4 linked regions of the Daphnia pulex genome follow. The protein of the gene in region 1 purifies or fractionates together with the protein of each later gene. This does not show direct contact. Links are inferred from orthologs where the notes say so. Each region holds a gene or a part of one and is shown in the gene's direction. Other genes may lie near its edges.

Region 1 (8,204 bases):
AATTTCTGCAATTAATTTTTTTGTCAAAAAGATTAAACAAATTTGAATGGGTCCAATGCAAACAAAAGGAAAAACCTGAAAGTAGGGATTACTAGAGGGTTAAATGTTGCACTCTCTGATGCTAATGGGGCATCATTTAAGAACCACTGAAATGTAGGTTTGGGGAATCCATCAGAAGAAACTTCAAAACCAAGTTCAACTGTTGTGTTCATTTTCACACGAGTTTCTTCTGGTAAATGGTTTACTATCACAACTGGAACTGAATAGAGAAATTCATAGAGCCACTTTCTTTTTTATTTTATTAGCATGTCAGATAAAAAAAAGTACCTCTATCTTTGAGCAGGTAAAGTGGTTCATACATTTCACATTTTTCTAGAAAAAATGCAAGAATGCCAATTTTGCAGTTAAATCTGGAGAGCTTAGAAAACAACTGGGTACTCGTACAGTTTCCTTGCTGTGTAACCAAACTTCCTGGATTTCTAAAAAAGGTAATAGAAATTTGATTTGGGATTCACAGTAGTAAAACAAGCTTTATTACATACACTGTTTTCATCACCATGTCCAGCAGTTCACAAGAGCGCCCCTCTCGATCTAACCACGAAGAAATCTGCTGATGAATTCCTGGGCTCAATCTTTCAAGAGGCTGTGAAGGATCTGGTATAGGTGACAAAGGGAATCTCAGCATTCTCTAAATTTTGTGATGACTATAGATTTATAAAACAAACACTAAATTATTCTATTATTGTGCGATCCAGCTGATTTTTTTTGTATATACCATAGACTACGAAGTCTATGTATATACCTTGATGTCACCTGTTATCTAGTCGTTTCCGGCACACGCCGTTTGAGCAATTGCTGTTCTCAACAGGATTAATAATCGTTCATATAAGAAACTGCAGCAGTCATGGCTCAAATTCTACGTTTTCTAAAGCAGTAATTGTTGTGATGGAACTCTTATTTTTCGTAAATCGTTTACATTTTACAGTTACAGCACAAATACAGCAGACGACATAAGACCTGCTTGATCAAAGGTGTGACATCTAGCGAACAAAAATGAACACGAATTCGAATGTAATAATGTTAAAGGAAAATTGTGCAGGCATCTCCCTATCGGAAACAAAAAAATTAACTAATGAATCGTTTTTCTGCCTATCTGCTGCAATGCAATTTTGTGATGTGAAATGAACAACAAGCATCTAGTTGTGACGCGCAGTGGATATTTATTTTACTTATGGTTTAATGTGTAACTAAATAGCTTACGAACAGTACTTGGGCATGTATTTAGTCATTCTTGATGAATTATCTGGTTAGAATAAGAGAAGGGTTTTTATCTATCATTAATTGGTGGGTACGGCTGATTAACTTCCAGTCTAGCATTGCTATAGAAAGGTCTCGTCGCCTTAAAATAGTGCTTCTGGATCTGGAAGTTAAGACGAAGGTTTAAGTGAAGTGGAACTTTACGCTTACAGCCGTTACCGCATATCGTTTACTGGACATATGTCTAGAATATGAACCATAGTACCTCCTTCACAACCAATGATAAAAATCTTGTACTAATATCATTTGATGTAGAATAAATTCTTGCCCAAATGCCAAGTATCTTAGCTAACATTAGTGCTCTATATTACGTGCGTATTGTTCATTATTAAAAATTAAAATCCCATTTTGATATTTATGAATTATATGAGATAACCGAAGGGATCTAGGGCGAAGCATTTGGGTCAGAGAAAAAGTGGCGACGAATGAAATGTCGCCTGCTCAATATCACGGCAGGTTCTCTCGATGTTTTTTGTGTTTGTGTGTGTGTGATGTCTGGTGAGAGGTGACATCTAGCGAACAAAATTGAAAAAAGAATTCGAATTTGATGATGTTAAGAGGGGAAATGTGCAAGCATCGGACGTGTTGGTTTTCAAAACAGGATGTTAGGTCAGCCGTAAATCAGTCAAAGGGTTAAGAGGACAAATAAATTGTACATGGAAAACTCTGCAGCGAATGCATTTCGTCAAGAGATTACACAGCGATCTTGAATGTCCACGACAGCTGCTGCTCTCATCCCTAGGTTATTTATTTCATAAATTTGTTTTCACTGAAAACAAAAAAGGATGAAAATGATGATATTTACCAAACAAGGGCCGCTGGCGTCAGTTGGTCGCTCTCAATTTTTAGAGCAAAAGGAAAGACAAAAATTGGCAGCTAAAAAACTGCCGGTCGTATAATCGCTGAGGCATGGCAGATTACCAAAGACGAGTGGCACACACACACACACGAAAGCTTTCACGATATAGACTATAGCAGTACCACCACGTTTCGGGATAGAAATAGCCAGGTCAACTCAACATTTCCTGGAATCCAACTCAAACTTTTTCGGGACTGATTGATTTAGAGGTCTCGGCTATTATTCGCGACGAAATGTTTCATAACGCCAAAAATTTCTTTCGAGGCAGCATTCATTTAAATAATGAAGCTAGCAAGCACGTCTGTCAGAGCTCTATCTCTAGCTTCAAAAAAACATTCCCGAGTTTCCCCAATCTGACGGTTGTCCAATCGTTTGGAATTCATGAAGAATAAAAATGTTTTTTCCAAGTTTCTGGTTGGTCCGTTCAAACGTACACGAATGTTCGTTGCCAGTCACCACATGGCGATGAGAGGTCGTAAGCGGTTTTGGCGCCGCATTCGAAAGTGCCTTGAATGTTTTTTCTTCTTTCCTTTTTGTTGAAGCGCAGCTGGCAATTCATCATCTGCGAGTCTCTTCTCCGGGACTCACGTCGCGACGGTCTCTGGTGGTGGACACGCCGTCTGTGAAACTCGCGTGCCCTGTTTTTATAGTGTTGCCCCGAAAAAGTTTGTTGATTCAGCCGAAATTGGAAGTCACCGACAAACGACATTCTTGTGTGTCACACAACACAACAGCCATCCACCAAGTCGTTTGCAAAAGGACGCAGCAGCACCGTGAGCTGAGCTGGGGAGGACGACCGCAGGACGTGAAAAGAAACTGTAATACTCTCCGACCTTGTGAGTTGTGCAGACCTTTTCCTACGTACACATTAAACATATAAGCAGCTATATACACGACACAATAGCCACTGGTGGTGCTGGTGCTGTGCTTCTGGGATAAATCGTCTCAAACCTGACGAAATTCCATGATATACACGCGACCATAGCAGACACACGGCCATTTTCCTTTTGTCTTCTTCCTGTTGTATCTCTCTTGAACGCAACCAAACAAGAAAAACAATCGCAGTCGGTTGCCAATAAAGGAAAGCACCTTAATTAGCAGCTACAACAACAACCTTGCGTCGCGCAGCTCTAAACCATCTTTTTTTGTTTTTCTTTCTCATTCTTTCGCCATCCTGGAGGTCTTAACAAGGACCGCACTGCGCCGTCCATACTTAATGTTTCGATAGAAAAACCGAAAAACTTTTGTTTTGTTCTTCCGCGGCTTTTTTTTAAAATCTCTGATTCGCAGCGCAGTCCCGATTAAGAAAAAAAGTTTCAATCCGGCAGCAGCCAGCCAGTCTCACAGTGTTCCGCTTCGTTTCTTTTTGGAACCGAATGGAAGAAAAACGGCAGAGTGAAAGAGCGAGAGAGAAGAGAGAGAGAGAGGCGATTTGTTCAAAACTCGGCTCTCCTGCCAATAGCTGCTTCACTCTTCAGCCCACCCGGTAGTGATAACAACACCACTCGTTTCTCTGTGTGAATTGAGTGATAAACAATTTTAAAGTTTTAAATTTAAAAAAGAAAAAAAAAAGGAGAAAACAGCGCATAGTTTTGGGCCGGCCGGACTGGAACACATTTGAACCACTTCACACAGAGTGTAGAAAGCAAAACGAATGGCTACGATGGACGGAAGTAGTGCTGCTGTCCAGACTACCATCGCCAGAGGCAACCAAACTAGCGTCTTCAACAATCAGCAGCAACCGGCTTGTTGGAATGGACTGGTAGCTAAAAATTCTATTCTTACGTATTATATTTTTTGAATGTGTTAAATCAGTTGGAAGAAGATCAGAGATTTTTATATAGGTATTGTAGATATTCAAATATGAGGCATTCCTCACTGTCTTTGGACAGGTTCCCCTTTTTCTCTTTCTACCGTCCGTAACGCCCATTCGTTGAATAATTCGGGAAAAAAGATCCCGCATAAAAAAATGGGCGCTTTGCGCGCGGGACTATATAGAAACAAAAAGTAAAGTGAGAAGCTCCGCGCGGTCCCAAGGTCTATCGTATCATCTAACTTAACCTTTCTTTCTTTTTTATTTGATTTGCTGTTGTACTATAGTGGTGGTGTTGTTTTGTGTTGTTGTGAATATGATTCACGAGCCAGTTTGAATTACTTTGGGACCGTGGAAATCTAAACAGCAACGCCATCGATTATGCACGGAGCTGTGAGATTCTAATCTTTTTAAATCAACAAGCGTTTCATAATATTGCGTATAGCCCTTACACATACATGTTTGTGATGGGTGTGTGCAGTGCACTGCACAGGGAACTCGACACTCGGCGTCCGAGAGAGAGTTTCACATCATATAGAATGCGTTCGGGAGAAATACGCACAGGCACGCAAGTTTAGTCTCGATACACACAATGCGTTATGATTATGGCTGACATTGCCGTGGACTGGCCGGTCCCTCCTCTCAACGCGTTCTTACGTAATAATAAGGGTCTCCCAGTTCGGCAGCATTGAAAGGGGTTAAACAAAAGGAAGGAATAAGATGAGACGAAGGAGAGATTTTCTTTTGAAAAAGATGTGGCGATAAGCTTTCAGGTATTATGATGGAACGCGCGTGCGGGAGAAAAAAGAAGAAAAATCCAGACGGCGCCTCTCGCTCTCGCTAACTCATCTCGTGGTAATTTTGTAGAGAGAAAAAAATAGTTTTCGATAGGCAATAAAGTAAAGATGATAAGGACATGGGGCCAACTGTTCAATTTCTACTTCAGAACTTTTTGAACTGCTGGAATCCCTCCATTACACGAGGCGGTGCTTAGTCGAAAGAAATTTAAACGGCCGGATGAGTGATTTGCGATATGAGCGGCTATTTTCCATCGTACATCAATTTGATGATTCCCCCCCCCCTCAAAATATATAAAAACGAATGAAGAGCATCGCGTTAGATTTCCTTTCAGATATACATTTTGAAAACGACGTTTTACACCTTGAAAAGGGCTTTGGCAGGTGGAGCGCAGGAACATTAAGGTGAATCTTTACTGGGCAGCCGTTCATCAGTCAAGAAGTTAACGATTCCTAGAATAACCTGGACGACCTCCTGTTTTGTTTCTCTAGTTCCTAAATCACGCGATATAAACAGTCCCGAATGTCTCTCTGCGCATATCTAATATAGTCAAAAGTGATTACATACCAAAGGAGATTAGAACTACAATAGCTGCCCCGATCATTTTCAAGGCGAAAGTTTGTGTCACGAAAAGAGAGAAAAGAAAAAACACATTCCGCGACGTGAATAAGCGGCACGTTCGAAGCTTATTTCTGCCAACCGGCGCAAAGCTGAAAAAGTGCATTACATGTGTTATCGCCATTTGGACGCTGTAATAAGATATAAGAGGATGTGAAATTCAAATTCTTATCAAATTTTGAAAAGTTTATGGGGAATTTAAATTTCGACAAAAACAAAAATATTAATTGGATCGTTTTCTTGCCTCTATCCTGCAAATCAATTTTAAGATGACAAATGAACAGTAACTATACAGATGTGACCCGTAAAAACAATTAATTGGACCTATGTTCAAACGTATATCTTAATTGATTACGAACAGTGATAGAGCACATGTTTCATCATCCATGGTTATAAATCTAGTTAGTATTAAATCGGTTTCACAATTTTTTTTTGATTAGGCGCGGTTGGTTAATTAAAATACGATGCCTTCAACAATATGTTGATGAGCAAGTCAGGATTTTAACTAGCCGTCGGATCAATTGATACTGGATTTCCATCCAGAATATAAAAACAAGTACATCCTTACCACCGCTGGTAAAACTCTATGAGGAAACCACTAATTGTAGAATATATTCCTGCCGAATCGCAAAATTTCTTATATACATTCAGTGTTCTCAATTGCGATCATACAGTTCATTATTAAAAAATTGAAAAATACTTATGGAGTGAGTCGTTAAGTCTGTTATAAGATAAGATTGTTGTTATAAGAAAATATGATGTGGAAGTAAATGGGACTGCGTAGTGCGTAGTTTTTGGACGAGAAATTAGAATTTTGACAAAATAAAACAAAAAAAGAACAAAACAAAAGTTCCCTTGCCTCTTTCTAATGCAATCTGATTTGATGTCAAATGAACAATAAGTAATCAGATGTGACGCGTAATAAAATGTTATTGGAGCTATGGTTTAAAGTTTATCTAACTTGATTACAACCAGTGTTTGGATACACATTTAATCATCCTTGCTGTAAGATTTAGTTAGCATAAGTTTTGAATTTATTTCGTTGAAAGAATAGACATGGCTGAGTAATGAAAACCAAACCTATTGATGAAAAAAACGTTTGCCCAAAATATGCTGACTTTTTCATGGAAATGGGTGTAAATTCATCAGCCGTCTCTTCATGTCTATTCATACTGGAAATTCATCCAGAATATAAACATACATACATCCTCGCAACCACTGGTAAAACACTATGGAAAAAAACACTCGATTTGTAAAATTTACCGGCCAATTCGCAAAATTTTTTAAAGTTTCTGTGTTCTTAATTACGTGTATGTTGTTCATTATTAAAAAATAGAAAAACTCGTATAGGAATGAGTCAATAAGTCGGCTACTGCAGTTTTGCTGAAGACGGGGAATATCTACCTTATAAGTTACACCGAAAAAATCCCTGGAGCGATTACGATCGTCATCCGTGTCACACATTATTGCAATATACCCCCAAGTCGAGAAATCAAATAGGATTGAGCTGAAAAAGGAGATGATTGAGAGCGCGGGTCGTTCAGCCGAGTCTCTCGTGACAGGGCGACATACGCGGACGTAGAGAAAAAGCGACAAACCGGACTTGCATCGATCAACCCGCGAGAAATAAGAAAACACGAATAAACCTCGGTGATGAATGCGAAAAGGGACAAGGTGACGGCCCTCCCGCACGCTCTCACAGCAGCAGACGACTCGAATGTGTATAAGGAAACAACAACAACAACCTGGAGGAGAGAAGCGTAATCGAGCGGCGGTTCTTTTTGAGTCAGTCACACGGGGCGACATCGACCATGTTAGAGTGTGTAGTATACCTGCACCCGGAACTGATGCGCGCATATCCCCCCTCCACAAACCTTCCAGTTCCTTTATAAGGTGTGAGGCTCTCTCTCTATCCTCGTACGAATAAATTGTAATCCACGTCAGCCGACGATGGTCGCCAAACTGGCCGGCGCTGGCCGGTGTAAGAAAAAAGAAAAGAAAGTCTGGTGACAAGTGCGCACACTTTTCGACTCTGTGACAAGGACTCTCTATTATAGCATATTATATAGTATAGTATAGAAGTGGAGTTTTTTAAAAAGTAATGCGGACGGCAACATTGATCACGGAGCCACTGAGGAGCCGGACGGCGGCGTGCTATGACGCATTCCTCTATGTGGAAGGATATAATATTTTCTACAGAAATATTTTTCAACCTTCTGCTGTCGAGGCTATATGTCGTTATTTTCTCTGTGAAACAAAAAGGGGCAAGACTCTCCGTTTTCACGCTACCTCGGGACATTCAGCAGTCAGGTGCTTTAATCAAAGTAGACGGCCATATGTGTGAGAATGGTGAGCGATGTCCGAGAGTTGCCCATGGTGGACTCCATCGATTACGACTGGTTACACGCACGCACAAAACCAACCAAGGGAAAAATCGAAGAAATTGACAAGCTACGAAACGGAAAAAAATAGAAAAAATCAAAGGCCAAACAGACAAAATCAATTGACTACCAAACGGGAACACCTGGTTTTGATAAGAAAATATTCACCTCGGTCTAGACACGTTTGACTGGATTCTCTACACGCAACAACAACAACAACATAGAAATCAAAACGAGTGCATCTCTCACGGTGCACACGGCAGAAAAGGAAATAATAAAAGAATAATCAACCTTGTCCGAAACCTTTTAATTACGGTTATTTGTAAGGGAGAATAGAGCAATTAAATCCATTTTGTTTGATGCTTCATTGATATACAGAACGAACGGAACCATTAGCACGAAATTTCGGGGAGAAAAA
Region 2 (5,612 bases), on another chromosome or scaffold:
TTCCTCTTGCTCAGCCTGTGAGGAAAAAAAAAGATACAATACAGTTGTGATGAAAATCAATAAAGAAACCAACCTTGAGCTCTCTAATGAATCCCAATTGTTGACTAGAACTGGCCATGAGTTTGTTGACTGTCATTTGAGTCAGTGCTCTAAACTGTTGTTGGCGGGCACCGTAGCACACTGATCTTGCTCTATTGGATAGAATATGGTAGGCATTCCAGGTGTCGGAATCCATGTCAGAAGTACATTCCCTTAAAGTCTAAAAAATATAAACTGGTTAGCTACAACTAGCTGAAGTGATACATTAATTAGAAAACTTGCCATTGAAGAGGAGCATGGGTAGACTCTCCGCCCTTCCAATCTTGATTGGCAGTTTAAAAGATTCACACCCAACTTAGACAAATCTTCCTCTGAGAGATCATTGCAGTCTTGCTTCAATTGAAGGATTAACTATAAACGAGTTCATTAATATTAATGAACAGTGAGATTGTACTTTGAATCAACATCAAAGTACTTTACTTACTTTATGCTGGCAAACATCCAGCTCGCTCAGACTAAGGTCAGTATATTTCTGTGCATCGGCAATGAATTTTTCATCAGCTACAGACAGCTCAAATGGAATATCAGACCTTGCTTGCACAGCACTCTCATCAGGTTCAGAAACTTCAATCTTATCATCTTCTTTTGCTACAGCCATAAGCTTATCAAATTGTTTTTCACTACTCAAAATGTTAAAAGGGGAGCTGTCTCTGCCTAAAATCCAACCTACTAAACTAGAATGACTACCAGTTCCTAGGAGAATTATGGCCACTAAATATAAAGTTATCTTCATTTTTGTAATAATCACAGTGCAATATAAGAGAAAATCATCTGACAATAATTGTATAAGATTGTAAGAGGGTTTGGTCGATAAAATTAGTCAAAAGGAACTGCACGTTGCTTTTCTAAATTCAAGTCCGGACTGGTCTGAATCTCTGGGTCGAGATTCCTTTTGAAAACCATTTGCATTTATTCAAATGAGGCAGATAACGTTGCCACATTGCTTTTTCCAAAAGAATTCGACGGAAATTTAAATATTTAAAATCTTAAAATATTCATCTATTATGTTGTATTATAAAAAATGTATATTCCTGTAATTGAAATAATATTTTAAATAATTTCAGTCATTTGGAAAAAAAATAGTTAGAAAAAATAAAAAACGTTTACAGGCACGCAAGCATTTACCTTTAAAATTCCATTGGGAGAAAAGGACTGGTGACGCTCGTGCGTCAAAGCCAAGAACTAAGTTGTTTCCCAAAATTATGGCTGTCTGGCTTTCGTCGGGCCCCGAAAACAGTGTATAGTTAATCAAACAATCGTGGATACGGATACGTCAGTTGATAGTCAATATTGTCAAACAATTTGTGGGAAATGCTATTCGTTTTTGAGTTTCGAGAAGTGTAATTCGACTTTGAACGAAGTCAAAACATTTTGGTGATTGGCCAACAACCGTTTCACTTGATAAACGTAGCCGTGGTGCACATCCGGCCTAGCCTTGAAAAGGAAATTCCTTCTCTGAAGCTTGTTTTGCCAAGAAATACTTTATCATCTGTGATTTCATAAAACGTGTTATTTTCGAGATGGAGGCCAATTCTAAACATGACTTTAATGCCACTGCTGAAGATGAGCTTAGTTTTCGAAAAGGGCAAGTTCTCAAGGTAAACCAAGCAATGATGCTTTCAACAGAATTTAAGGAATTTTTGCTTATAGCAATATTCTAACCTGTTCATTTGATTCAAATGTAGATTCTGAATATGGAAGATGATCTGAATTGGTATAGAGCAGAATTGGATGGAAAAGAAGGGTTGATTCCTAGTAACTACATTGAAATGAAAAATCATGAGTAAGCCTAGTTGAAATGTTTATGATAAAATAATGCATATTGATTATAACTTGTTGTTTTATTTTCTACAGTTGGTACTATGGAAGAATAACCAGAGCTGATGCAGAGAAACTCTTGGGCAACAAACATGAAGGCGCTTTTGTTGTTAGAGTCAGTGAGAGCTCACCGGGAGACTTTTCCCTGTCTGTTAAGTATGTTATCTAGTTCTTAAAATAACAATGTGATAGATTTTGTTTAGAAACATAGACAGTGTAAATCCTTAACCAAGAGCTCTAGATAGTTTAGAAATGCCCCATAGGAATTCTTCTACTATGTTTGATGTTATTATTTGCCTATTCTCAAATGTTGTTGAAATCTATTTGTGGCATACCAGACTACTTATCATTAGAACATCTGAATGAGATAAGTTGACATCTATTAACTAAGCTTGTAAGTCGTTAACTGCCTAAAACGGGAAGATTTCTCAAAATATTTATGTAGAAATAGCACATTATAAAAACATATTGAGAAATATCGCTTTGCATTCAGATATCCTGATTAGACGCTACACGTACATTTGAAGCGTGAAAAGAATTTCAAACATGCAGGCTTTCATCAGTGTAAAATCAAATATCTTATAATCTCGCTCTCCAAACTGTACGATACAAGTTCTACCTTACTAGGAAGACGCGTTTGAATAGAAAATTAATGAACCGAACGTACAGTTTATTTCTATTTCCCTCAAAGAATCATGGGTATTTGGTTTTCTGTAGAAATTTGATTTGATCACGCAAGAATTCTTTCCAAATGCAGTGCATGAGTCAACCTGATGACGCACACATCCGTTTACATTCCAATTTTATTCACTTCAAAGGTGGAATGAATCTCAATTGTCTATTTTGTTTTACCTTAAAAAAACAAAGACAGCTTGTAAAATTGGAACTCGTGCAGTGACTACCCTTTGCTTAAGTCGTGACTCGTGATTCATGAACCGTCAGTCCTACTGTTTTCAGTAATTAGTTTTATCCTTTTTGGTATTTTATTAGCCTTGTTAGGCGTGTCTAGGGTACATTCTGTTTTCTATCTGTTAGGCCTTTTCGTCAAGTTCCCTTACCACTGAGCCACCGTCCGTAATCAAGCAACTATATATGTGCCTTGAACCGGAGTTTTGCATCATTTTTAGTTTTTACAATTCTCTCATCGCCCTGCTGTGTTATTTATTCCTTCTTGAGGTTTTTGCCCGTTAAGTTGTAGGATGAGTGTGTTTTGTTTATAGCTAAGGAAGCCATCATCCTACTTCCTTGTAGTTCGAAATTAGTTTGAAATTTACACAATACTTTGTTACGTGCATTCTGTGTTAATAGGCTATTCTCTATTTTTTCTTTCTTGTCTCGCAGATGTGGCGATGGTGTCCAGCACTTCAAAGTACTTCGCGATGCCCAAGGGAAGTTCTTTTTGTGGGTGGTAAAATTCAACTCGCTCAACGAACTGGTCGACTACCATCGCTCCACATCTGTTTCTCGGTCTCAGGATATAAAGTTACGAGACATGGTGCCTGAAGAGGTGAGTTACCAGTTGTTCTTTTTTCCATGCCTTTAGGCTCAGGATTGACTAACAATTGTTGTGTGAATTTTCGACAGTTCTTGGTGCAGGCACTATACGATTTCACCCCGCAAGAACCAGGTGAATTGGAATTTAAGCGAGGCGACGTCATAACTGTGACAGACCGTTCTGATCAACATTGGTGGACTGGAGAAATTGGCGCCCGCCGCGGCCTCTTTCCTGCCACTTACGTTGCCCCGTATCATACTTAAAAGGCGAAGGCACTGTTCGTTCGTTTTCTTTTGCTCCTTTTCTTTTCTTCATAAATTTTTCTTCATTTTTTTTTTCTTTTTGTATTAAAGTGGTGCGTCCGTTCTTAAGACTCAAGTTATTTTTGCCGACTTCGAACCTAAACACATTACTAACTTTGATAACAAAACAGTAAAAGTGATGAACAGCTAGGATTGACAGGATTGCATCTCATTTCTCATTGAAAGCAGTTTGTAAAATTGCTTTCTTTTCAGTTTTTTTCCGTTTATGTTGTTCTAACCTCGATTTTCGACTGTATTTCCCCTCAAGCACACAGCTTTCGGGATTGCCATTAGATGTGGCTTTGGTCGAATAGTCATGTTGGAGCAATTTGTGTGGTTTTGATTGCGGAAAGATAAGTTAACTTATCCATAACGTCGACAACAATTACTGGGCTATTAAGTTTGCCCGTCATTTCTGTTGCTTCTTCTTATCTTATTGGCTCTTTTCCCTTTTTTGTCGACATTTTAAAGTGAATTTCGATTTTCTACCTATATCGATAACCTCTTCATAACTCTCACTCTTATGAACTAGCTTGAGACCATGCTATACTTGTACATCGAACAGTATCTTGATTGATGAAAATATAATGTGCAAACCAATGTTTTAGTCTTCTTCTCCGTCAGATTTAAAACTCTTACCTGTTGCGTTCATTGTTTCGTAATAGTAGAATGTGTAAGAGGAAAAAAATTTGTGTATTTAAAGATGCATCTAAACAAATACTATGTTTAATGAATTAATCTTCATCGATGAGAAATTTTCTTACGCTACGTAAGTATTCGGGCTCGAGACTGTTTGTAAGCTCTTCTCTGCCCAACCAATTATACTCTATGTCTGAACAAGTAGTGCAAGAAGAAAGCAATTGGGCTTTGAAGAAGAAAACTTTTGAACCGGTAAAACCAAGCTTTTGGCGAACTGACGACGGATATTTGATAGTATGTACTCCCCACGGAGCATTGCCCAATACTCGCACTGACGTATCAGGAGTTTTCACGTATTCTCTAAGTGCACGTTCTGCGGTCTCACGTAAGGTCTCCCCTTCCCTCCACCTACTTTCCGGAAGCTTCCAAACTTTCTTGTCTTTTTCTTGCACAACAAAAAGCAAATGCTTATCCAGCTTTCGATTGGTGGACTTCTGGTCTCCACTCAAATCTTCAGCTAGTTTACAGTAGGTCAATGAATTACTTGTTAGTCAACTTTATTATTTATATTATTACCTGTAGTCCTTGGGGCAGGCTTAAATTTTTGAAATTCTTCATTGCAAGCATCTTCAAAGTCTTGAGCTGTTTGCCTTGTTGCTGCATCTGGGTTACTTTCATCTTGAGTTCCATCTGCAGCCATTTTTTGTAGCTTCCTACAATTAAGAAATTATTCATATTAAAATTAAAATCTTTGATGGTATTTGAAATTATTACTTGTCTTCTTCATGTCTTAGTTCATGATTTGATTTGAGGCTTCTCATATTATCAAACTTCTCAATCATTTCACTAATTTGTTGTTCAATTTCGGTCATGGGAGGCACAATGATTGGTGTTCTTTCCAGACAAATTGCACCAAGAAGTTCCCATTTTTGGGGTGAAGAACTGGATGTAGAAGCACTCGACATTCTCAAGAAAACTACGAACATAAAATTTATTTTATCCATCAAAAAGCGTTAAAAAATGAATGATTTTAAGCTTTTTACCTTTTGGATTTTGATAGACTTTGTTAATTGAAAAACCATTCTTAACTAGTGATAGGCTACCTAAAGCATGAGATCGAAAGCAAAACATTTTTCTCTTGTATCTTATTTGAATAACTATTGATTAGTCTATATTAAATTCTGGCCACAAGGCCGGCACGGGCACAGTAAGAATTGTCAACAAAATCGGAAAATCCTCGATTCGATTCCGAGAGTCTT
Region 3 (8,251 bases), on another chromosome or scaffold:
TATGGTCAGTTTCCGTCTTGTCGGAGAAATTCACAAAGAAGACGCTACCTACACTTCGGTATATTTATTTTTAATTACACTCAAGTAGTTTTCTAATTATTGGTTATATTTTTCTGTAGGTCATGAACATTATTTTACGCCGTTGCCTTGGCATGCTTAATTTGACTATGTGGAAACGCGATTATTATGACCCGGCAGCCTTGACTGAAATTCCGGTAAGGATTTTCTTTTATAATTTCCAGAAATTATTTTACTTATGTTTTTGGTTCGTCTTGTAGCAACATTTCTTGAACGTATGGCCCGGCTACCTGACTACTATCCGACATCACGAGGATGGATTTCTTCTTGGTGTAGAGATCATCCATAAAGTTTTGCGTCGAGATACTGCCTTAGATGTTATGGATAGATTGCGTCAATCTGGGGGTGATATTCAGGTATGCAATTTGTAACTGAATTTTTAAAAGACGATTTTTAACCTAACAATTTTATTTTAAATTGCTGCTTTAGGCACTGTGTAAGGCGGAACTGCTAGGAAAAGTTGTCATGACGCATTACAACAAAAAAACTTACCGAATTGACGATGTCGACTTCACCAAAAACCCCAGATCAACCTTCCACCTGCGCAAAGAAGACCGTGATATTTCGTACATGGAATATTACCAGACGCGTTATAGCCTCTCGGTGAGGAATGCTTCCCAGCCAATGTTAGTTTCACTCCCTTCACGACGAGATAAAAATCGAGGCGACGACCAACCAGTGTACCTCATTCCAGAACTGTGCGGCATGACGGGTCTCAGCGATGATCAAAAGTATACATTAACTCGAGCATTCAGTATTGATAATAATTTTACTTAATCATTTCTCAATTTTTAGGAAGAATTTCAATTTGATGAAGGATGTCGGTAATATTACGCGAGTTATGCCAGATAAACGTGTTGATGCCCTCATGAAGTTCCGCAAACGACTGGCCGATAATCCAAAGGTGAGTGTGGTTAAATATGACTTATTACAATCTATTAATGATATGTTCTAACAGATTCAAGAAGAGCTTAACAGTTGGGGTCTCGACTTTGCAAAAAATATTGTCTCTTGCAATGCGCGTATTATTCCTGCTCAAACGATTCAACAGGGTGGTAACAGTTTTCCAACACAAGAAGGAGACTGGAGTCGTAATATTCAGCGTAAGTTATACTTTACATTAAATGACGAATCCGAGTACTAATCAATTATTAATCGATTTAGGATCCAGGATGTGTGTGTCTGTGGAATTACAGGATTGGGTTGTATTTACGCCGTCAGCAATGATGCAAGAAATCACACCCTTCGTTAATATGATGAAGCAAGTTGGAGCTCAACAGGGTTTTAACATCCCGCAACCTGAATAGTATGCGACCATTTTTCTAATATATTTAATATTCAATTCATTCTTAAATTACGATTTTCAATAATAGTATTAATATGCAAATGGACCGTACGTCAAACTACGTCGAGGCTATTCGAGCGGAATGTGGTCGAAAGCAATTCAGCCTTATTTTTTGCGTGTTGCGTGCTGCACGAGCAGATACGTATGCTTCAATCAAGAAGATGACGATCTCAGAATTCGGCATTCCATCTCAGGTATCCGTTTGAAAGGGAATCGTAGTTGGCATCTTCATGATTGTTTAACTAGATTTGATCTTCTTGCACAGGTGATAACGGGAAGAAATATCAAGGGACAGCCCGGTAAGCTCATGTCAATCGCCACCAAAGTTATGATTCAAGTTGCTTCGAAGTTGGGTGCGGAACCTTGGAGAGTTGCAGTCCCCCAGACGGTAACTTTTCTCGATCGAGACGTTTGCTTCTTGAATTCTTAATTTATCTTTTGGCTATTATTGAATGTAGAAATGGATGGTTATCGGCTATGATACGTACCACGATGCACGTCAAAGAAAAGCTGTCGGTGCATTTGTTGCATCCATCAACCCGACCTTCTCGCGTTACTATTCTTCTGTGAAAATTCATGAAAACAATGAAGAAATTTCACCCAGCTTCAAAGATCATCTCTTTGGCGCACTCAAGTATGTTTTATTATGCTTTCTTTGTTCCGTGCAAAATAATATCTCTTTTTCATTCGCACAATTAGATCTTATTACATCATGAACGAAAAAACATTGCCGGAAAAAATCATTGTCTACCGTGACGGTGTCGGTGCTGGAGACATTGCGCGACTGAAGGATACGGAAGTGGCGGCACTGAGGGTAATAATGATGAGTGACGGTCTGTGGGAAGATTTTGAGGCTCGTTTTTCTATACAATTATCATTTTTTGGCTTGAGTAGGAGGCTTGTTCCGATGCTGGTGCTCGAACAAATTACCTCGGGACTGGTGTGTATAATCCACCCATTGCGTTCATTGTCGTAAGCAAGCGGATCAACACGCGATTTTTCGCCATGGGACAACGTGGAGCGAGCAACCCTCCTTGCGGCACGGTTGTCGACAATAAAGTGACGCTCAATGAGAGATTCGACTTCTTCCTGGTGTCTCAAAAAGTTACGCAAGGTACCGTTTCTCCCACCAGCTACAATGTTATTGAAGATGACACTGGAATCGCCCCTGATATTCACCAGCGACTGGCTTATGCTCTTACCCATCTTTACTACAATTGGCCTGTAAGTTTTTTTATTTTTATTGTCTATTTTATTCAGAATTGAATTTAACCAATTTGTTCATTTAAGGGTACCCTGCGTATTCCAGCGCCCATCCAGTATGCGCACAAGTTGGCGTACCTTGTTGGTGAATCAATGATGACGCAACCGCATGAAGGACTGAATCGACTTCCTTATTACCTTTGAATTACCTTTCATTTATTTTCTCCCTAAGTTTTGTCATTTTTAACGTATTAATTTGTTCACTCATAAGAAAAAAACTAAAAGACGACGAGACATGCCTCACTCGCACGATTTTCGAATGACGCCAAAAATATTTTTCTTGAGTTTGTTTGCAATGGCGGATATCGACAATGGAAGTGTTTTTCATGCAATTTTTTTTTCTGTTTCACCTTCATGGGCCATGTCAGAAGTGTGATAATGAACGCCCCTTTGTGCCATGTTGTATGTAATCAAGGAATGAGTAATAAACCTTTGTTTTTAAATGAAGTAGATTTATTGACTTTCGTGTGGTGAGTTTTTATATGATGAAATAAACATGAGTTGCAATGGAATTCGCGTTGAGATGGCATTGACGGAAAAGCTCTACGTGTGCAATGCACATAGCACATTAGGTGTTTCGAAAGCACTGAGGAAAACAAAAGAATGTGGCATCGCTGCTTGGCAGGCGTGGTCAAGCTGACAGCTGTATCGAGAAGAATGCAGGCCTGCAAGGCCAACAAGGGTACGTCTGGGCAGGATCGTCTGGGCTTCCTCGATAGTCAACTTTCAGGTCCGCAAAAGCCAAAAGAACTCGCAAGTCATTGAATTGCTAATTGTCCACTAGAGACACCATGCGGCTGTCTCTTTTGTAACCAAGGGATCTCAATCGTCCCACAGCGAACTAAATCGTTTATAAAAATTATTTCAATACTATAAAATGACTTGATTTCATAACTTGAAGCTTTTTAAAAACACGATAAAATAATATTTACGTAACAAAATAGATGGTTGCTAGACATCCAATAATGAATTCACAAAAAGTATGCATAGAATCAAATGATTAGAATGAACATGTCATTACTCGGATAATAGAAAATTTGAATAAAAGTTTTATTTCATAAGAATTAATTAAATACCTAAAAGATTAGACAGCCCCCAAAGGTGTTTGGCCTTGTATAGATGTCAGCACTGTACGCTGCTAGATGCATAGGTAATAAGAAACGAGATCTGGCAATCTGGCCTCTTCCCATCCCATCGACTCTCGCTGGCATTTTCCGCTTTAGCTACAGGGCAAAGCATTCTAGCAAGCGTACGGTGGAGTCTCAGTTGCTAGCTACACTCTTTGGTCTTAGTCGAGACAATTCGAGGCAGGTTCCGATTCCAACGGTCTCGCTTTTGTTTCTTTATCCAGTGACATCTGCTTATAGTTTATTCCAGCAGCCATGGCAGACAGAGAGGATAACGTTTACAAGGCAAAACTCGCCGAACAAGCCGAAAGATACGATGGTACGTAAATGTCATTTAAATGTAAAATCGAAAAAAAGAATGAAGTTTCATTTCCTCTGTGTCTCTATGACTGTGCATCTCTGTGGGTAAAACCGAACGAGACGGTAGGCGGCTTTGAAAAAAGGCTTGGGCGTTTGACAGACTTATGACGTTTTGACTTTTTGTCTTTTTTCTTGTACATTCGGTTGTGTAATGGGGAAATTCAGCGGCGTCCCCCCTCTTAGTGTTGGCTTGAATACTTTCGATCAATATGACACTCGTACTTGAGGTTCATTTTTCCTGACAATTCCATTTTATCAAGTATAGTATAATCTCAGCCATGTTTTCTAGAATCTCTTTTGAGGGTTTTTGTCGCAGTACGAAATAAAAAAAAAGTAATTCTGGGTGTGTGTCCGGTGTGTGTGTGTATCTCTGGGTGGTTTTCCTCGAAACCTACCGCTACGTAACGAGATGACTTGGATCAATGAGTCATGAGAGAGAGAGAGAGAGAGCAGAGACTTTGGACTGTCTCTTTGTATACTTGCTTTCCAATAACTTTTTTATTCTCTTTTTCGTGAAAAATACGTAGTCGTTTCTATTCAACTTGGGCCTCTCACCATTGCGCATCACCAAGGCGACGGATCTCTTCAAAACGACGCTCGGTAGAGTACCCCACCCTTATGTGCGTGATGCGTTGGGGGTCCTGGCTACGTTGATGAAAACGTGCCGTCTAAAAAAGCTTCTCTCTCTCTCTCTCTCTCGAGGACATCAAAAAGGAAACCGTTCACACAACAATGGCCGCCTGTGATGGTTAATTTTCTCTTCTATATTTTTCTCTCGACTCTTCTGTCTGCGGCTTACAAAAACCAAGAATCGGTCAAGCTCTGACAGTGGGCGGAGAAACCCGATGGAAAATTAGCCACCATTTTTATTTTTCGTCTTTTTCCTTTAGGAAAATATTCCAACTGGTATGAATGGGGCGTTTTTCTATTTCCACATATTTTCGAAAAAATAGTTGTCGCACGTGACGCGTCTCGTGCCTTTTGTCGTTGTAGAAAAAAAAAATTAGTTTTTATATTTTTAACTTTATTCCCCCCCCCCCCCTTCACGTTTCAATGATGGAGGGAAGTTGGAAAGAAGAGAAAATGCGGTGTGGGTGTGTCGCCCTAGAACCTGTCATTACGCCACTGCGATGTGAATCCAAGTGGAGAGCCTGTCCGTGCATACAACTCGATCGTCTGGTTATTATTATTTCCCTGAATTCAAACATGTACGCCCAGCTGGAGAAACTTTTATTTTTCAATTCCTCCCTTAGAAAAAAAGAGGACACACATAGTTTTGTGTGTGTGTGCGTAACGTCAACTCGGTTTGCCCCTGTACTTTTCCTTCCTTCCGCCGTGGGGATGCTGATGTTGGGGGTTATATGACGACTGCGACGTGCTGGATGTGTGGAGAGCGGGCGGAACTAGGCGGTAGCGTGTTTCCTCCCGTGGCCGTTATTGATCCGCTACTTGAAAAGTCGCTCGAGTGTGGGGGGTGGGGTAGACAGGGAGATGGGGGGGAAAGAAGGCAAAGCCTTTATGTCTGAAAGTGTATCTATCTTTTTCTGTCCAAAAGAGAAAGGGATCCTCTGACAAGTTTCTTTGGCTAAGACTATATGATAATCTGTTTGTTGATGCAGAAATGGTCGAGTCCATGAAAAAGGTGGCGTCGATGGACGTCGAGTTGACTGTCGAGGAGCGGAATCTGCTGAGCGTGGCTTACAAAAATGTGATCGGCGCTCGTCGTGCATCTTGGCGCATCATCTCGTCCATTGAACAGAAAGAGGAGAACAAGGGAGCCGAAGATAAACTTGAACTCATCCGCAATTACCGCAATCAGGTATGGATAATGTATTCAAATTTTATTCATTGATTTGTGCCTTTATCTGTTTTGTCTATAGGTCGAGAAAGAGCTGAAGGACATTTGCTCTGATATTTTGAGCGTCCTCGAGAAGCATCTCATCCCATCAGCCACCACTGGAGAATCTAAAGTCTTTTACTACAAAATGTAAATCGATTTTTGCTTGGCCTTTTTTTTTTCAATCTTGCGAGTAGTAGTTGGACATTCCTATTAAATGCACCGGTGGATTTCTCTCAAAGTCCTTGAGACTCGAGCGTCTGTGATTTCGAATTCTACTCGTGTTTCGCTTTGAGAGAAAAGAAAAAGTGTCGTTACTATCTCTACCAAACGTGTACACAATTTTATCGTACGTAAACGTTGCGCCAAGCGCAACTTTGTGTGCGCGCAGACATGTTGTGGATGGATGGCCTGGTATTGATTATTGACGATTTTACACAACTCCCTTCCTCTGCTTTTGTCGTTGTGTTATACAGGAAGGGTGATTACCATCGGTATTTGGCCGAATTTGCGACAGGAAATGACCGAAAGGAAGCTGCAGAGAACTCGTTGATGGCTTACAAAGCCGCCTCCGACATTGCCATGACGGAATTACCCCCCACCCATCCCATCAGGTAACTTAACTAACAATTTGTTGCCGATCCTCAACTTAACTTTATCATTTGTAGATTGGGATTGGCCTTGAACTTTTCCGTCTTTTATTACGAAATCCTCAACTCTCCGGACCGAGCGTGCCGGTTAGCCAAGGCAGCTTTCGATGACGCCATCGCTGAGCTCGACACCCTTTCGGAGGAGTCGTACAAGGACTCGACGCTCATCATGCAGCTCTTGAGGGACAACTTGACCCTCTGGACTTCCGACATGCAGGGCGATGGAGAAGCTGGTTAGTAGAGCAACAGCTAATTGATTTTTGTCCAATCACGCCAACAGGACTTGTGTGTGTTAATAATTAAAATTTCCTTTTTTAAAAAAATTGATCAAGGAGATGGTGAACCAAAAGCGGAAGTCGCAGACGTTGAGGACCAAGACGTCTCCTAATCGGCGATGTAATTTGTATTGATGTGTTTTTTTTTCTTAAGTCCTACATGATTTGTTCAATTTTTTCATTATATTATTAATTTTTTTTTTTCAACAAAAAAAAAAGTAATCCGGAAATCCACCACCTATGTTTCCTTTACTCTTATCTGTCTCCCATTCGCTCCCCCTCCCTCTAATTGTTCATCCCGCGCTCTTCATCGAACACTGGAAACTGCATTACAACAATTACCGAAACGGTTTGCATGGACACGTGTATAACTCCTCAAAAACAAAACAAACAAAAAATAATTAATAAGCAAAGGCTGTGTGTGGTTTTTGTTGTCATTCCCGTTGTCCCTGCCCTCTGTCTCTCTTTAATTTCCAATAATCATTTCCGTTATCTCTTGGATCTTCCTCGTCGTTTTATTCGTCGAAGATCCAGCGTGCCCGCACACACACACACACAGACGATACACAACACACTCACAGTTTCAATTTCTCTTCGGAATTTTTCTCTCTCTCTCTCTGCGATGTAGTCTGGCGTCACACAAGACTTCACGTGTAACCTTTTAAAACAAAAGCTGCTGTTGTCTTTTCAACTTTTCTGTAAAACTGCCGCGATTTCTTCATTTCCTCAAATTTGTATCAAATGGGATTGAATTTTCTACCAGGGGCTACTAGAGAGAGGAAAGCTGAAGAATTCGAGTAGAGGTAACTGTGGAAAAGTATTTGATTCAGTCTTTCCGCAACTAAATAATTGGCAATGGATTTTTTGAAAAGTAAAAAAAAACACGAATGGAAGAATAATTTCTTGGCTTCGTATCGCATTTTCCCCCCTTTACTATTTACTATTAGGCCTACTATTAAGTTTTTAACTTTTTCCATGTCGCTCGAGCCATTCCCTATTTATTTCTCTGTGGTGTCCAAACATTTGCTCACCATCATAGTTGGGAAAAAACCAAGAAGAAAAAAAAAATATTTGAATTTTGGAAAAGAATTTTTTTTTTGGTCCGACGTGATGTAACCAGTCTCCTTTTTTGCAAAGAAAAATAATCTCCTTTTCCTTTTTCTATCATCTGTCTGGTTGTAAAACAAAATAATCAAGAGGATGACCGCTGCAGAAAGAAAGCTAGGTCAAATACACGCGCGCATTCTTTTGTCCTCGGTTTCCACAAACAATAATTTTTTTCTTATTTAAACACATTTTTATTTTGGTTATGTTAG
Region 4 (7,510 bases), on another chromosome or scaffold:
ACTGCTTCACGTCCGTCGATTTCCCGTCTTGTGATGGATTTAGTGTCTCGCAACAGCCGGCCCAAAGCGGAGCCCGACCGTAGCTGCCGGCCGTGTTGTTGCGCGTCTGGGTTTTCTGGACTTTCCAGCTCTTCCTCTCGCCGTTCTATATACTCTGCTGGATTCTTAAAGTGTACTAAACGTACTCGACTTGCCAGACCAAACCAAACCAAAAGAACCTTTGCCCAGCGCCTTGATGATAAACCGAGACGGGCAGAAAACTCTAAAGAAAGAAAAAGTGACGATGAAAGAAATACAAAATGCTTTTTAGTGCTGGATGCTGGATGCTGTTTGCAACAAGGCACAAACACGATGTGTTCAACTGCGCATATGTATACGTGAGAGAGACGGCTCTAGCGCATTCTTACGACCTTCGCCTTATACACACGCGTATATATTCCGTCTTGGGGCTACCATTTAAAAATAGAATTTTTTAGAACCCCTTTTTTCTCGATTTTTTTCTCCCGTTTCCACTTTCCCAGTGGACGTGAATTTTTGACGGTTGTTGATCCGAGTCCCGAAAAATCGAAGGTCACGGGACTCGTATCGTCTACTGGGACGGACCACCAGTGGGTTACCAAGTAAGAGTCGAGTAGGTGTCGAGTCAAATTTATCGGTTTCGTATCAACAGTCGGTGTTTATATTTGCGCGAACGAAAAAAACACTTTTGCCAATGTCGAATTGGACGCACACAGACGGACGGATAGACCAGATCCTCTCACCGGGCCATGGACTCGAAATGGACTCGTCGTCTATCGACTCTGGGTGAATCATCGTCGACTCGTCGCTGTCCCTCACGGGAGCAAAGGTGCGGGACTGGCGATGTGATGATGGGCAAGACGTGTATGATTCCGCCCAGTTTCCCCGATGGCGTTAAGCTGGCTAACGTGCGGGGCAGGGCAAAATGTTTTGTTTATTGACGATAAGGATTTTTCTTGTTTCTTTTTTCACTTTTTTTTTTTTTTTTGGAATAATAAATCGGGAGCCAAAACATTTGGGGGAACGTTTTTCTTTCCCCCCTTTGAAGGCTGGAAAGAAAGAAAGAAAATAAAAATGTTGATGATTTACACATTTTGCGCGCGTGTATAGAAGGGCGGAGCGGCCGGTTCTCCGGAGCCAATCGAGACGGCGTCGTTTTCAAAGATCGGCGACGCCACCTACGCCAAACCTAACAAAGTCCATCGAGCCAACCCCAAGGATCAGTTGGATTCGATGCTCGGCAACCTACAGGTGACTCTCTTTCCAGCTCTCCCATTTCTCTCTACTACTGACTTTCTGATTTTACATTTTCTTCATTCGTTCCTTATCGGTTCTTGTAATTAAAATTCCGTTTTTGCATTTCACGATTGATTCAAACAGGCTGACATGAACAAACAAGGTATCTCCGCCACCACCAAAGGATGTTGCACCGCCTGCGAGAAGCCCATCGTCGGGCAGGTCCGACTTTTTTTCATTTCCCCCTCAATTCAATTGACCCGACCATTGAATTAATTGAATTTGTATTGTTTTGTTTTGTTGTGGGGTTTTCAGGTGGTGACGGCTCTTGGTAGGACGTGGCATCCGGAGCACTTTGTCTGCTCCCACTGCCGCCAGGAGTTGGGAACGCAAAACTTTTTCGAACGCGACGGCCAGCCTTACTGTGAACCCGATTATCACCACCTCTTCTCGCCCCGTTGCGCTTATTGCAACGGACCCATTCTAGATGTACGTTGTTGCCTTTTTCCTGGTTGTTTCAACACCCACCGCGGGCCCAATTGATTTGGCAAATTCCGACCCTATTTCACACACGCGTTGGGTCCAGTTGGTCCTGGACGGGAGAGCTCTTCTCTCTCTCTCTCTCACTATCCAGAATGTATAAATAGAACTTTTAAGTGGCCCCGAACGAACTGAGCGAAGCCATCACAAGAGTCACGCACGTTGGCTGACTGATGAAACGGATGAATGGATGGACGACGGTGTCAGACAGCTGGTCTGGTTCACCTCATCACCCGAAAACTTGTTCTTGTTGGCAGCCTCTTTTTGTTGTTGTTTCTTTTTCCTAACATGTTCCTACTAACTTTCTTTTTTTCGGACGTTGTGTTTCTTTTATCGCCCCCGCGTCGCCAATTGGTTCCATTACAGAAATGCGTGACGGCGTTGGATCAGACGTGGCACCCGGATCACTTTTTCTGCACCCAATGCGGCTGCCAGTTTGGCGAGGATGGATTCCAGGAGAAGGATGGCAAGCCATACTGCAAGGAGGACTACCTGGCCATGTTCGCCCTCAAGTGCAAAGGCTGTTCCACGGCCATCACCGAGGGCTACATCTCGGCTCTCAACGGCCAGTGGCATCCCAATTGTTTCGTCTGCAGGGTAAGTTTTTCCTTATTGACGTCAGATATGTTGTCCCCTGGAAGGTAGGTTATTCTTCTAGACAATCCTATTAGTAACGTGTGTCCGTTTCGCTGTTGTTGTTGTTGTTGTTGACATTCTTATATATCTCTTGACCGAGAAGGATTGTCGCGTTTCGCTCAACGGCGGATCTTTTTACACGGTCGACTCGCGCCCAGTTTGCGGCAAGTGTATGGGCGTCGGTTCCGATGCCGAAGACGACGACGACAGCCAATGAAGTGACCCCCGTGACCCCAAAACAAAAAAACAAAACAAAAACAAACCAAAATGTGTTTGAAAATTTTCAAGGAAGAAGAAAAACACAAACCCAAAAAAACACACGGCGCTTCTTATCTCACTTCTCCTTTCGCACACTTTTCTCTCTCTCTCTCTCGCTCCTCTTGAAGTAGTTTTGGCCACTCCCACCAGAAAAAACAGTCCCGAGTTTTTATTTTACAAAATAAGAAACCTGACAAACCAAAAAAATGATGATGATGTTCTAGTCCTGAAAAATAACAACACACCCACCGCGCGACATGCCCAAGTGCCTCCTCTTATTTAAAACAAATTTATTATTGGCTCATTTTTTGGCTGTTTCTTCTGACTTTTTTTCTTCTTTCTATCCCCCTTTCGCTCTCTATTCTCTCTCTCCATTTTGTGTGTTGTGTCTTGTTATGTATGTTGGCGATGATGAATCTTTTTCGCACAAAATGACAATGAAAGAAAACAAGTTAAACCAAAAACCAAAAATACCTGAAAAAAGAGTTCCACTCGAACGAGCAAATCATACTACTACTCTACTGCTGCTACTTTTTCCAGTTTGGTACATATAGTCAGAGAATAAAACAAAAAAGAAACAAAAGATTAACGACTCTTCGGTGGCGGGGAGGCTCATGCACTATTGGATGGATGGTATAGTTGGACTGGTTTGGCGGGGTAGTAGTAGCAGTACAGTTCGTTTAGTTCAGTCACATTTCTTTTCTATATACAACACACACACCCGTTGGGTGGGTTTATTTTAACGATGCGGATGAGTTCACATCGTTACGCAAAATGAGCGCTGCAAAGTAAAAGGCAAGTTCGTCATTCTCGTGAACTCCCCATGGTTCGGTTCACGCAATGGGTTTCTTCTTCTTTTTGTGTGTGTAGAGCCGGGTTGAATAAATCAGTCAAGTCGTGGGAGGGCGGAGACAAGCTCCGAGCCGGGATGAAGTTGCTTACCTTTGAGCTTCTTCTTCTTTCAAAATTAGAATTCGTTATTTTTGTATTTTGGCTTCTTTTTTGCGCGCTAGTCTTGTCCATTTGATTGTTGTCATCGCTTTTTAAAGCTTTTGGACCCGGGGGTTTGAATAAAGCGCTTTGCACAGCTGTGCCCTCCTCCCTCGGTCGATCTTTACCAGCAGAAAAAAAATTTTTTGAAGCCAGCTTTCGAGGAACTGTAAACGACCGGATGACGCATGGCGTGTCATAAGAGATTTCTCCGGTGCCGCTCTAGCGAAGTAGAAGAAGAGGGATACTATCTATAGGCTGGCGAAAGCGTATAAATAAAGACATCCTTTCTCTCGACTCTCCTTTTTTCTATTCTCAGAACATAAAAGACACGTACGAAAAAAAAAAGTTATATTTTTTTTTCGGGTTTTTGAAAATTCGCCGCAGAATGGCGCGGACTTTTCTTCTTTTTATTTTCGCCTATTTTTGGGCTCTTTGGAGAGGCTTTACTAACTACGACCAGTAGTTGGCTGTCAAACAATCACTTAGTCTCGGGCTCTTGACCCTCTTTTCTGCTAGCTCCTCCTTCGCCATTTCCCTTGTAGTCGTTATTAACATTTTATTTTTAAAAGCGACTCAATGAAAGGCATTTCTTTTCCAACAACAAACGGCGTACGGGTGACGTTAAGGGTGTCTAATTAAAAACAACAATTACCCCCCCCCCCTCACTTAGTAATTAAGCAAATATGGATCTTTTGCTAATGCGATTATTAAATTGTTATTTTTTTTTTTTTTTCCCCACCATTCCAACTTGCAGGATTGCAACATGCTGTTCCAGGGCGGATCGTTCTTCGTTCACGAGGGTATGCCCTACTGTGAGATCCATTACCACGCCAAGAGAGGTTCGCTCTGCGCCGGATGCCATAAGCCGATTACCGGTAACGATTTTCTTCTTCTTCTTTATTTTCTCTTTAATAGACATCCCCCTCCCCCCCCCATAACACTTGCGTGAAAAAACAACAACCGTTTAACCTCATTTTCTCTATTCACCCATTATACTGTAACTGCTGTATACGATGTGAATGAATTTGTTTGTTATTGTTCTTTTGTTATCACGCGAAAAACAAAACAAAATCAGGTCGGTGCATCACGGCCATGTTCAAGAAGTTTCACCCGGAACACTTTGTCTGCTCCTATTGCCTGAAACAGTTGAAGAAGGGCACGTTCAAAGAGCAAGGAGACAAGCCGTACTGCCACGGATGTTTCGAGCGCCTATTCGGATGAAAAACCAAAACAATTCCGGAAGGGAATGAAACAACAACAACAAACAATAATGATTTTGAAAAATGATTCATTTCTTCTTTTTTTTAATGATTGGGTGGGGAAGTACAACTGACGACGGACTCCACGTTTACAATGTAATAACACATGTGAAAAGATAACCCCCCCCCCCCACTCAATCCACATCGAATTCTATTTTTCAATGTAATCCCCGCCCGCCCACGCCCCCCATGAAGGAAACCAGCGCATAAAAAAAGGAAAAGAAAATGACACGCAGACACATTTTCTATATACTTACACTACTACATTACAGTATAAATCTTTATTCGATTTCTACCATAAATATTCTTAGGGCGACATCCCATGAAACCAATTTTTTTCCTGGTTAATCGGTTAACCATTTTTTGGGGGGGTTTTCCAGCCAACGTCTTTTGCCTCTATCGGCTCATCTTTCAAAGTGGTTTCTCTAGTTTGTTTAGTTGTCATTGGATAAACCAAGTGGTGAGGAAAACAAAAAAGGAAATGAAGTTTTAAACCTCCCTCCCGCTCCTAACGCTTGATTCACCGCCGAGACGCACAAAAAACTACGCAAAACTAATGATGTTTTTTTTTTAAATAGTAAAACTTATACAATAAAAAAAGTCAAATAGAAAATCGAAGTGGAAAACGAAAATGGTATGGCATCAGCTATTGCTGATGATGGCGCACACACGCATCAATAAATTTGATAGGATCGAATATTGGTTCAACTTTTTTCTATTTCCCTCCTCCGTCTCTTTCAATTTAATTATTTGTATTAATTAAGAATCTTTTGGGTTCGCTATCGTGTTCGTCCGTCGTCATTAAAACAACAACCAATTTTCTGTGTACTTGTTTGTTTGTGTGTGTATAAAAAAATTTTAATTCAATTTCAATTTCCGTTCATGTGATTTCCGATTATGAAAAATATTAATGAAAACATCCATAGAAATATCACTACGAATTTTGGAATTTCATAAATCCACCGAAAGACGGATCCCAACTCCCAAGTTCCAAACGCTACGGCTTCAATTATTTCGCAGTTGTAGTAGCTGCAGTAGAGGTGTAGAAACATTAACCGCAAGGTTTTGTTTACTTTTACTTTGACATTAACGGATAGCCAGCGGTTGAGCGGATCGGTGTAGCCATATCGGCGATATCGTGTAGTGTTGCCAGTTTGTGCAATTAAAATATTCGAAACGCGCATTATTTTTTCGGCATTGGCAACACCACACAATATGGCTACCGTCTACCGATCCGCAGTACGGCAGTCGGCAGTAGGCTACCGCTCAACCGCTGGTTTATCCGTTTATGTCGTAAAGTAAACGTAAACTCGTAAACAAAACCTTGCGGTTAATGTTTTGGCAATGGGAGCTTGGGATGAAGAAGTTGTGCTGTGTTTCTTTCAGTAAAGCAAGATTTGCATAGAAAGGTGATGAAATAGTTCATGAATAATTTTACGACAAGAAGCTGCCATACTACGACACACTTTGACATGAGTATCTGAAATTCCAGTGAACCAGTCAGTTCACCAGCAAAAAAACAGCTTCTTTTCCTGGCAAAAAGTCAGAAAACAATGAAAGAAGAAACATCAACAATTTATTGTTTCAGGAGACTACAACAGGTATGGTTTAAGTCAATACAACCACAGACTACAACTAACCACAAATGTTATTGAAATAGATCTGTCCTGTGCATCACACAAGGTAATCAAGAGTTTGCAGTCAGCAGCATACTCAGTAGCCTACTCTTTTTTCTAAAGACGAAATGAAATCCTTGAAGATGTCTTGGAGCTGTTGTCACTTTGTCCAACAGCGTCCTGGAAGAACTGCTACTTTGCATCACCACAATTTAAAACATTCCAGCCACAGAGTTCCAGCACAGCATATCCTTTACAGATATGAGCTAACTACAACATTTGATATAAATTCACAGGTACAGGTTGTAGATAATGTAGAAGAACTGGAAAAGGAATAGAAATTGGTTGCTCTAGTACTGCTACTCATTCACCTTAGGGGCCATATTAGGGATTAATTATTCGGCAATTTTTCCGCAATTAGCCAATTAGGTAATCATTTGCCAAAGGAATATGTTGGATATCACTAAGTGGCTAAAATTATGTCTGCTAGATGGCGCGAGTGTCTTCGTTACTCAAGAGTCCAGACGAAATTCCGCCATTTCCTAAGACACTGATTGGAAACCGCATGTTGAAATGTTGAAAACGTATCGTTGGATTGGATACTTCTTAATACGGCGTACTTTTCTTTCTTGACATTTTTATTCGTAATAATGGTAATTGCTCTTTGGATTCTTGGATGTGACTGTGTTAATTATTTGTGTGAATTTAGGTATTTATCTGGTAACAGCCTATAATTTCTACATGGCAATTACATCTGATCATGTGGCCTGAGCTGGGCCTGAGCAGCTGAACATTTTGCCAAAATGTCTCTTTTTCCTGTACCAGCTTCACGTTTGTCAGAAACACTTCGGGTAAATATAATGTTCAACTTTCTAACTGTGAGACTACAGATTTAGTTAGTGCCTATCTTTTCAACCTATTTCAGTTGTGGAAATTGAACCTTGGAAAAGCTTG

Evidence for each region.
Region 2: the proteins of breast cancer anti-estrogen resistance protein 1-like (region 1) and growth factor receptor-bound protein 2 purify together in Homo sapiens (affinity purification with western blotting; 3 studies listed by BioGRID, with this or other methods). This does not show direct contact. The link is inferred for Daphnia pulex from reciprocal best matches to the Homo sapiens genes BCAR1 and GRB2.
Region 3: the proteins of breast cancer anti-estrogen resistance protein 1-like (region 1) and 14-3-3 protein epsilon purify together in Homo sapiens (affinity purification with mass spectrometry; 3 studies listed by BioGRID and IntAct, with this or other methods). This does not show direct contact. The link is inferred for Daphnia pulex from reciprocal best matches to the Homo sapiens genes BCAR1 and YWHAE.
Region 4: the proteins of breast cancer anti-estrogen resistance protein 1-like (region 1) and paxillin-like purify together in Homo sapiens (affinity purification with western blotting; 3 studies listed by BioGRID, with this or other methods). This does not show direct contact. The link is inferred for Daphnia pulex from reciprocal best matches to the Homo sapiens genes BCAR1 and PXN.

Annotation. Positions count from the first base shown.
Region 1 is NC_060021.1:6,677,903-6,686,106, forward strand, and holds the start of breast cancer anti-estrogen resistance protein 1-like, read left to right. Parts: upstream 1-3,471; 5' UTR 3,472-3,830; coding exon 3,831-3,938; intron 3,939-8,204. Other genes in the region: mucosa-associated lymphoid tissue lymphoma translocation protein 1-like, read right to left, coding at 1-5, 76-259, 328-479, 543-688, 776-778. UniProt on the Homo sapiens protein: Docking protein which plays a central coordinating role for tyrosine kinase-based signaling related to cell adhesion. Implicated in induction of cell migration and cell branching. Involved in the BCAR3-mediated inhibition of TGFB signaling.
Region 2 is NC_060028.1:9,113,636-9,119,247, reverse strand, and holds growth factor receptor-bound protein 2, read left to right. Parts: upstream 1-1,223; 5' UTR 1,224-1,619; coding exon 1,620-1,697; intron 1,698-1,784; coding exon 1,785-1,882; intron 1,883-1,953; coding exon 1,954-2,073; intron 2,074-3,258; coding exon 3,259-3,424; intron 3,425-3,501; coding exon 3,502-3,675; 3' UTR 3,676-4,314; downstream 4,315-5,612. Other genes in the region: protein brambleberry-like, read right to left, coding at 1-15, 74-259, 322-450, 524-832; 39S ribosomal protein L46, mitochondrial-like, read right to left, coding at 4,449-4,870, 4,930-5,066, 5,128-5,329, 5,397-5,484. UniProt on the Homo sapiens protein: Non-enzymatic adapter protein that plays a pivotal role in precisely regulated signaling cascades from cell surface receptors to cellular responses, including signaling transduction and gene expression.
Region 3 is NC_060024.1:10,586,112-10,594,362, forward strand, and holds 14-3-3 protein epsilon, read left to right. Parts: upstream 1-3,901; 5' UTR 3,902-4,068; coding exon 4,069-4,132; intron 4,133-5,792; coding exon 5,793-5,992; intron 5,993-6,053; coding exon 6,054-6,160; intron 6,161-6,486; coding exon 6,487-6,624; intron 6,625-6,678; coding exon 6,679-6,893; intron 6,894-6,986; coding exon 6,987-7,048; 3' UTR 7,049-7,436; downstream 7,437-8,251. Other genes in the region: piwi-like protein Siwi, read left to right, coding at 1-58, 120-215, 279-434, 508-809, 874-982, 1,037-1,181, 1,243-1,384, 1,452-1,617 and 5 more. UniProt on the Homo sapiens protein: Adapter protein implicated in the regulation of a large spectrum of both general and specialized signaling pathways. Binds to a large number of partners, usually by recognition of a phosphoserine or phosphothreonine motif.
Region 4 is NC_060022.1:1,455,922-1,463,431, forward strand, and holds the end of paxillin-like, read left to right. Parts: intron 1-1,128; coding exon 1,129-1,269; intron 1,270-1,398; coding exon 1,399-1,476; intron 1,477-1,569; coding exon 1,570-1,743; intron 1,744-2,160; coding exon 2,161-2,391; intron 2,392-2,533; coding exon of another isoform or gene 2,534-2,647; exon of another isoform or gene 2,648-3,159; intron 3,160-4,435; coding exon 4,436-4,556; intron 4,557-4,756; coding exon 4,757-4,902; 3' UTR 4,903-5,807; downstream 5,808-7,510. UniProt on the Homo sapiens protein: Cytoskeletal protein involved in actin-membrane attachment at sites of cell adhesion to the extracellular matrix (focal adhesion). Recruits other proteins such as TRIM15 to focal adhesion.